Linked DNA regions of Macaca fascicularis. The protein of the gene in region 2 interacts with the protein of the main gene of each other region in a pairwise test. Links are inferred from orthologs where the notes say so. Each region holds a gene or a part of one and is shown on either strand. Other genes may lie near its edges. The genes, in order: ACBD6 and NMT2.

Region 1 (3,813 bases), on a different chromosome or scaffold from region 2:
TTCATAGACATGGTGTTTGTTTTTTTGTTTGTTTGAGACAGAGTCTCACTCTGTCGCCCAGGCTGGAGTGCTGTGGCATGATCTTGGCTCACTGCAACCCCCACGTCCTGGGTTCAAGTGATTCTCCTTCCTCAACCTCCTGAGTAGCTGGGATTACAGGCATGTGCCACCGTTCCCAGCTAATTTGTGTATTTTTATTAGAAACGGGGTTTCACCATGTTGGTCAGGCTAGTTTCAAACTCCTGACCTCATGATCCACCCGCCTCGGCCTCCCAAAGTGCGGACATGGGTTTTTTTTTGTTGTTTGTTTGTTTGTTTTGTTTGTTTTTTTGATTTTTTGAGATGATGTCTGGCTCTGTTGCCCAGGCTGGAGTGCAGTGATGGGATCTCAGCTCACTGCAAGCTCCGCCTCCCAGGTTCACGCCATTCTCCTGCCTCAGCCTCCTGAGACATGGTGTTTTTAATGGTGGTTAAATATGACTAAAGTGGTATTATTTGCAGCTCTACTTTTTAAAATCAGAATTTTCTTTTCTGGGGTTTGGCCTCACTTCTTATTTTCTTTACAGAATAAGATCAAAAAAGCATTTTCTCTTCCGTTTAACAGGGCCTCTTCAAGTGACCATATAGACCTATTAAACATGATTTCTTACTTAAAACCTACTTCATTTTCTCTAGCTTGAAGCAAGTTGTTTCTCCTTTCTTTTCTTGTAGTCCTTGTTAAGGATTCAGCTTTTATGTTAATCCTGTGTAGATTTGTGTCATCCCAACTATACTGTTTGTGTCTTAAAGGCAAACTTTCTTGCTTAGCCTTGTATCTGTTATCAACAAATTCTTGTCCAGTGCCTTACATGTAGTAGGTGCTCAATAAAATACTTCAGATGCTTAAAGAATGCTTAGATGGCTGATGCCAAAGTAGTGTCTTTTAAGAAAATTAGCTATGACTGTATATGGCACAAGATGTTTAGATTGGCTTTTAAGATATAAGAACTCCGATGACCAGGTGTTTTGCTTTCTGATGAATGGCTGCTATGGCATTGCAAGTCATAAAACACATTAGTTTGACTTTTGGAACGGAAAATGCATTCCTTTATACTTGTTCATAACATTCAGTCCACATATGGGGCAGTTTGATTGTTAATATTGTAAATTACTGATCTTTATGGGAGTCACTGATTTTTTTGAGAATCTGATTGAAACAGTTCTTCCCCCTGTACATACAACAGCCAGAAAAATGCACCTGCATTATAAAGATAATTCTGTACATTATTTAGAGAGCCCATAGATTTCATGTTAAGAACTTCTGCTTCAGATTTTGGAATAGACTGCAGCTGATTAGTCAAAAGGCAGCATAATATAATAGAAAAATGTACTATATACAAAATCAGTTGATCTAAGTGAATTCTAGCTCTTATTCTACCTTTGATAAATGTAGTACCATTTGGCAGGTCATTTAATGTCTCCTTTTTGCCTGTTTCTTCATTTGTAAAGTGAAGTTGTTGGATGAAAGATTAAGTGAATTAGCACATACAATATACTTAGAAGAGTGCTGGGTATGTAGTATGCTTCCCAGCTTTTCTTTCTAGTCTTTGATTCTACTATCTTATAAAGGATTTCTGAATTTTTTAATGCCGTCCTCTTTTTGTCTAATTGATTTTCTTTGCTTTAAGAAAATAACTTTCATGTATATTTTAAAAACTTGAGTAACAATTTATTCTCTTATCCTGTAAGGCAAGTGGGAAACTAAGAACTTTAGTCTTTTCAGGAGTTGGATGTATTACAGCTACTGAAAAACTATTACTGTTCATGTAAATTTTTTTTTAAACAGAGTCCATTAACATCTATGTCAGCAGCAAACAGATTGTGTTGAAAATATGTAACTTTTTTGTATTACCCAGTAAGAAAAAGACCTTTCTTTTTTTTATTCTAGGGAAGAAGACAAAAATATATTTGATTACTGCAGGGAAAACAACATTGACCATATAACCAAAGCCATCAAATCGAAAAATGTGGATGTGAATGTAAAAGATGAAGAGGTATGTAAAACATGCCCTGTTAATTATTTTCCTATGGTTGTTCTGCCCCAGTGCTTTTTCCTAAATGGTAGGCCAATGAACTACAACTCAAAGTACAGCATGGCTAAGAGTATATCAGAATATCTAAATGAGATGCTGTTACCTAGTTAAGATATGTTCTGTGATTGTGTCAAACATATTTTTATCTATGTTTTAGAAGTTACTACCTGAAATTTGTAGGAGTCTGATAGCTTCCATATGTTTATGCTAAAGAGAGAGATTATTAGCATAATAAGTGAAATCTACAGGTAATAGCAATATCTCATTTATAAATAGCTTTCTTCTGTTATTATACCTTGAACAGCTAGGTATATTGTTCTTTGCTCAATAAATGTATCTCTAGAAAACTGTGTCCGAATTTTGGTAAATCAATAATTTAAATGCTGGCCTACTAATTAAAGGAATCGTATAGTAAATTATTTTATAAAATATATTACTTCTTTTTTTTTAGAGAGAGATAGGGTCTCACTCTGTTGCCCAGGCTGGAGTGCATTGGTGCACTAATAGCTCACCGCATCCTCAAACTCATGGGCTTATGCAGTCCTCTTGCCTCAGCCTCCCAAGTAGCCGGGACTACAGGCATGTGTCATCACTCCTGGCTAATTTTTTAATTTTTTGTGGAGATGGGGTCTTGCTGTGTCGTCCGGGTTGGTGTTGTCCTCCTGATCTCAAATGATCCTCCTGCCTCAGCTTCCCAAAGTGTTAGGATTATAGGCATGAGCCACTGTGCCTTGCCTATTACTTCTTAATTTATTTGTGTTGTGAATAATACCATTCACAAACTGAGTTTTAACTGACCCTGCATTATAGTTGTTAACAAAGAAGCAACATTTACTAATTTACTTCTAATCATTTTCTCATTCTTTGGTGATGCTGTGAAAGATTACTGAAATGGCCAAAGGTAGTAATTGTTAGGAAGAAAGCATTGAGTGATCATAGATAATCTGTAGAATAGATAATAATTAACTTATGTGTAATTCAGAGCTGCATATATAAAAGGTTAGCCCTTAATATTGTCTCACCTTTCGGCAACATCTCTCCTGTGATAATATTGTCAGTGGCATCTGGAATTGAAAATGTAAGACTATGATACTGCACAAAGGGACTAGTAATACTATGTGGTTTTCATTAAGTAAACAAAATAATACCAGGTCTTCTGATTCTAACTGGGTTTGTGGTTTTTGTCTGTTTGTTTGTTTTTTGCCTTTCAGAATCAAAATACAGGCATACCTCTGAAATATTGCAGATTCAGTTCCAGACTACTGCAGTAAAGTGACTATTGCAATAAAGCAAGTCACATGAAATTTTTGGTTTCCCAGTGCATATAAAAGTTGTGTTTACTGGGTGGACACGGTGACTGATGCCTGTAATCCCAGCACTTTGGGAGGCTGAGGCGGGTGGACCACAAGGTCAGGAGCTTGAGACCAGCCTGGCCAACATAGTGAACCCCATCTCTACTAAAAATACAAAAAAAAATTAGCCAGGCATGGTGGCGGGTGCCTGTAATCCCAGCTACTTGGGAGGCTGCAGTAGGAGAAATGCTTGAACCTGGGAGGCAGAGGTTGCAGTGAGCCGAGATCGCACCATTGCACTCCAGGCTGGGTAACAGAGCAAGACTCCATCTTAAAAAACAAACAAACAAAAAAGTTGTGTTTACACTCTACAGTCATCTATTAAGTGTAGAGTAGCATTATATCTTTTAAAAAGTACATACTTGAATTTAAAATACTTTATTACTAAA
Region 2 (4,330 bases):
TGCAGTGGCCAGATCTCAGCTCACTGCAAGCTCCGCCTCCCGGGTTCCCGCCATTCTCCTGCCTCAGCCTCCCGAGTAGCTGGGACCACAGGCGCCGCCACCTCGCCCGGCTAATTTTTTGTGTTTTTAGTAGAGACGGGGTTTCACCGTGTTAGCCAGGATGGTCTCGATCTCCTGACCTTGTGATCCGCCCGTCTCGGCCTCCCAAAGTGCTGGGATTACAGGCTTGAGCCACCGCGCCCGGCCGGGTATTTTCCTTTCATTTGAGGCTCTAGTTTCAATTTAGTATGTCTAAGACGACTAGTAAATACATTATACTGAGTGGTGGGGTAAATGAATTCTTTCAGGCCACAAGAGTACTATTCAGTAAATTACCGCTCTGCACTGGCCGCTGCCTGGTGGCCTCAAATTGACAAACTGCCTTTAAAAGGTGAAACATGTTCTTACTAATTCATCCAAAGGCTCATTATTTGTTATTTATTTAAACTGATGGGAATGAAGAGGCCAAGGATAGAAAAAGAGTCTTTGAAATTTTAACATTTACAAACTTGAGCTACTTAAAGAAAACCTAGGTTTCCACTGCGATATCGTCAGTACATGAGCCAAATAAAACACATTTACTCCCCCAAATTTGGCACACATTGTCTAAATTCAAATCCAAACAGGCAATCCAAGGAGAGCAGTCATTTGGAGTTTTCCTAATCTCCTTACATTTAAATAGAGTACAATACATCTATTATGTTAATCTTTTCCCACTAGAAGCTATTAACATGGTATCTGCTCTTGGTTTAAACATTTCAGTACACGCGGCATCTCTAAATTTTGATAAACTTTCTAACATATAATGAATGTGCTGATATACAAAACTGAAAACTTCTGAAGGCAGCAGAGATGCCTCTGGGTGCTACTCTGGGAACTTTAGCTGCTTGAAAGGTGTCAGGGGACAGGCTCAGATCAATGGGCACACAGATGAGGAATTCTTTGTACCAGGGACATTCTCAACAGTGTAGGCAAAGAAGTCCTAATCAAGCCCCCAACCCAGAATATCAATCAAAGGAGGAACAATAAACAGGAATTACAGCAGAGAAGATAAAAATCCAGGGTCTCTCCAGAAAGACAATACAGGTACTTAAGTTAATCCGTCAGCTTGCATCTGCACCTGGGCCCATTTCTGGCACTAGAACTACCGTTTCAAAAACATATTTGTATTTAGCTATCTATTACAAGTACGTTTGTATCCCTGCATAAACAGAGTTCAGGTTCAGATTTCTGCGCAATTTCCTTTCCTCTCTTTAAAAAAAAAAAATATTCTAGACTCGAACATTCGATACTTGCAGCCGCCACTGAAGTATTCACGGCAAAAATAAAAACAACCTGCAAATGGGAGATGCACATAGTCGGCTTTTCTTTTCCTTGATTTCTTGTTAATATTTTATAATGAATTAGAGGTCAGTAAAAAGTCCCTTTCTTTAATAAATCTTAAAGTAAACAAGTAGAATGCAAATGATTTACACTTTCAATGATCAATCATTTCAAGAATCTCTCTACGAACTGAGTAAACCATCTGTGACTCAGGCCTCCCTATCATGTTTTTTAAGCTGACCCACTTCTCCATCACTCACCATGGTTCGAAAAATCTCACTTCTAAGGGTGTAGCAAGAACCGCTCTGTGCCAGCGCATAGTTTGAATCCAATAGGGTAAAAGGGTAATGCAAACAGCACTTTAAAAGGACACCAGTTTTTATGTAAAATGACCCACTGCCTCTAAAAAGAGAGCATCAACACCGGCCTTCACCTGAAGCAATCCTTTTCTCCAACAGAAGAGCAAATCAAGTCTGTAGGGTTCGGGGGCAAAGGCAAAGGATTAAGAAACCCGATCAAGTGTGAAAATGCTTGGTGCATCGAGTTTTGGAGATCAAATACTAGCTTTGCAAACGGGATGCGGCCAGGTCAGCGAGAGCCCGGCTCAGGGGATCGGCCCTGCTCTGAAAAGCTGTAGGGACACGCGAGGCGGTGCAAAGCCCAGTATCCCCAGCAGGGGCCGGGCCCGGGACCCCCTCCGCGCCAGAACTTTGCGCAGTTCGCCGCCCGCAGCCCCGACACCACCAGGGGCACCTCCATGCCGCTCCACCCACGTCTTTGCCCATTCTTTTTGGGTGGCGGCCGTGGAGAGGGGGTCTGAAGGGACTTAACAAGGATGGCAGGGGGCAGAAGAGGGCGACCTCCTACCCCAGGCTACGGCCGCCACAAAGGGCAGGGCGTCGCGCCTCTCCCTCGGAGCCCACCGGAGCCACCCGCGGGCGAGGGCAACACGCGCCTCCTGGGCCAGGCCGCCGGCGGGGATGGGCGAGGCCGGCCGGGGGCGCACGGCAGGTGACAGTAGCGTCGCCGGTCCCCGCCCGGGCCCCAGCCTCCCCGCCCACCCCGGGCCTCGCCTCCCCGCGCACTGTCCTCTCCCGCGAGCCCCGGACCTCACCACGGGCTCCGCGCCGCGGAGAAGCCATCGCGGGGCGGAGCGGCCGAAGAGCCCCCATTCCTGGGAGCCAGCCCCCGAGCGAGAGACCCTGGCGCGCGCGGTCCCCGCCCTGTAGCTCCCGGTGCGCCCGCGCGCCGCCCCTACCCTTTGGCGTGCTCCATCTCCTCCTCATTGTCTCCGTCTATCCCGCACGTGTCCTGGTCGTCCAGTTCCAGGCTCTGCTGGCTGGCCGCAGACTCGCTGTCCTCCGCCATCGCGGCGGCGCTGGCTGGGGAGGCGGCGCTCGGGGCCGGGCCCGCGCGGCGGGGCGGGCGCGGCCGCAGCTCCCTCTAGTGCCGCCCGCCGTACTGCTTGGAGTCGTAGCCCTGGCGCTGCGCCCCGCCCCGCCGGCCCCGCCCTGCCCCACGGGCTTCAATCCCGCTCTTGAACCCCGCCCACCTCTTCGTCCCTCCCCTCAAGCCCCGCCTCTCCCCGTCCTGCCGGCTTCAATCCAGCTCTCTAACCCCGCCCACCTCTGAGGCCCCTCCCCTCCAGCCCCGCCTCTCCCCGCCCGGCCGGCCTCAATCCCGCCCTCTAACCCCGCCCCTCCCCTCCCAGCTGGCCCCGCCCTACCCCGCCCCGCCCCGCCAGCTCCAACCCTGCCCACCGTGGCCAGCCCTGCGCAGGGCGAGTCCTGTATATCCAGGCCTGCGCGGTGCCTCTACCTGGGGCTGGGCTCTCAAGGCTGAAAACCTGCAGACTTGACATCCTGAGTGGCGGCATTTTTGGAACACAGGCCATGCGATTTTACTTCCGGACGACTTAGGGAGCGCTCCCAACCCGTGCAGGGAATTTTCCCACTCAGGAGTAGGCACTCAGGGCTGAGGCTTTCCAGAAGCTCTTCCCGCCCCTCCACATACATGTTAACAATCCATTTCGCATCTATCCATCTAATACATTATAAAATCAAATTCAAAGTCAAAACAGTATTTCAAACCCTCCCACCGCCCTGTCCCAACCAGGCTTGCAGCACTAAAACTCTTGACAGAGAAATTCTTGAGCTACCCGTGCTTTTCCTGGACACTACGGACGGCTCAGACCAGAACAGACATCTTGAGGGACATGGGGACGTGTCCACGATGCCGGGGGATTGGACAGTTTCAGGTAGGCCACCCTGGTTTTCCCAAAGTCAAGGTTGTGACCTAGATTTCCAAGCGAACGCGCACGGCCTTCTGTGCTGAAATCGTCCTCTGTTTCTCTCAGAACAGGGAAGGGAGGCACTCTGTAGTATTGCCAAATAGAAGGCCGGTGAAGTTCAGCCTTTCTTATTTGCTATTGCATTCTGTACAGAGCAGCCCTGTCCTTTGCTTTGCTGAGATGATCTTGTTCAAAGGTGCTGCCAGGCCACCAGAAGTCTGTGCGGTGGTTTTGCAAAGAGAGTCGTCAGAACCCGCTCAGTGAGGAATATGAGACTTTAAAGAGCCTGAATTTTTTGGTGTAGGTCCTTTATTTGCAGAAGATACTAGGAGCATTCTATGGCTTTTTTCCCCAAGGGAGACTAAGTTTTTAAAACGCAATGAGCTAGAAGTATCAAAAGATGAAAATTGCAGAGCGATTTCAAAGTCCATCAGCTGTTTGGCGTTGACACAACTAAAATTCTGTAAGAAGGGCAAATGGGGCCAAACACAAAAGGAAATACAATATTGCCTTTAACAATTGCAACTCTTTGTGAGGCAAAATGTCATATGTCACCTCTGTGAAACTTTAGGATAAAAGCAAATACAGATGAGTGAGGTTCCTGCAGCTCACCTCTACGAACATGGGTTGTTGGAGAACCCGTAGCTGGGTCGGGTAACCAACAGGAAACTGGCCAGG

What was found.
Region 1: the proteins of NMT2 (region 2) and ACBD6 interact in binary tests that used the Homo sapiens proteins (3 or more experiments, as listed by UniProt). The link is inferred for Macaca fascicularis from reciprocal best matches to the Homo sapiens genes NMT2 and ACBD6.

The regions. Positions count from the first base shown.
Region 1 is NC_088375.1:37,897,581-37,901,393, reverse strand, and holds part of ACBD6 (acyl-CoA-binding domain-containing protein 6), read left to right. Parts: intron 1-1,927; coding exon 1,928-2,033; intron 2,034-3,813. UniProt on the Homo sapiens protein: Binds long-chain acyl-coenzyme A molecules with a strong preference for unsaturated C18:1-CoA, lower affinity for unsaturated C20:4-CoA, and very weak affinity for saturated C16:0-CoA. Does not bind fatty acids. Plays a role in protein N-myristoylation.
Region 2 is NC_088383.1:16,080,816-16,085,145, forward strand, and holds the start of NMT2 (glycylpeptide N-tetradecanoyltransferase 2), read right to left. Parts: upstream 2,808-4,330; 5' UTR 2,731-2,807; coding exon of another isoform or gene 2,649-2,730; coding exon 2,621-2,648; intron 1-2,620.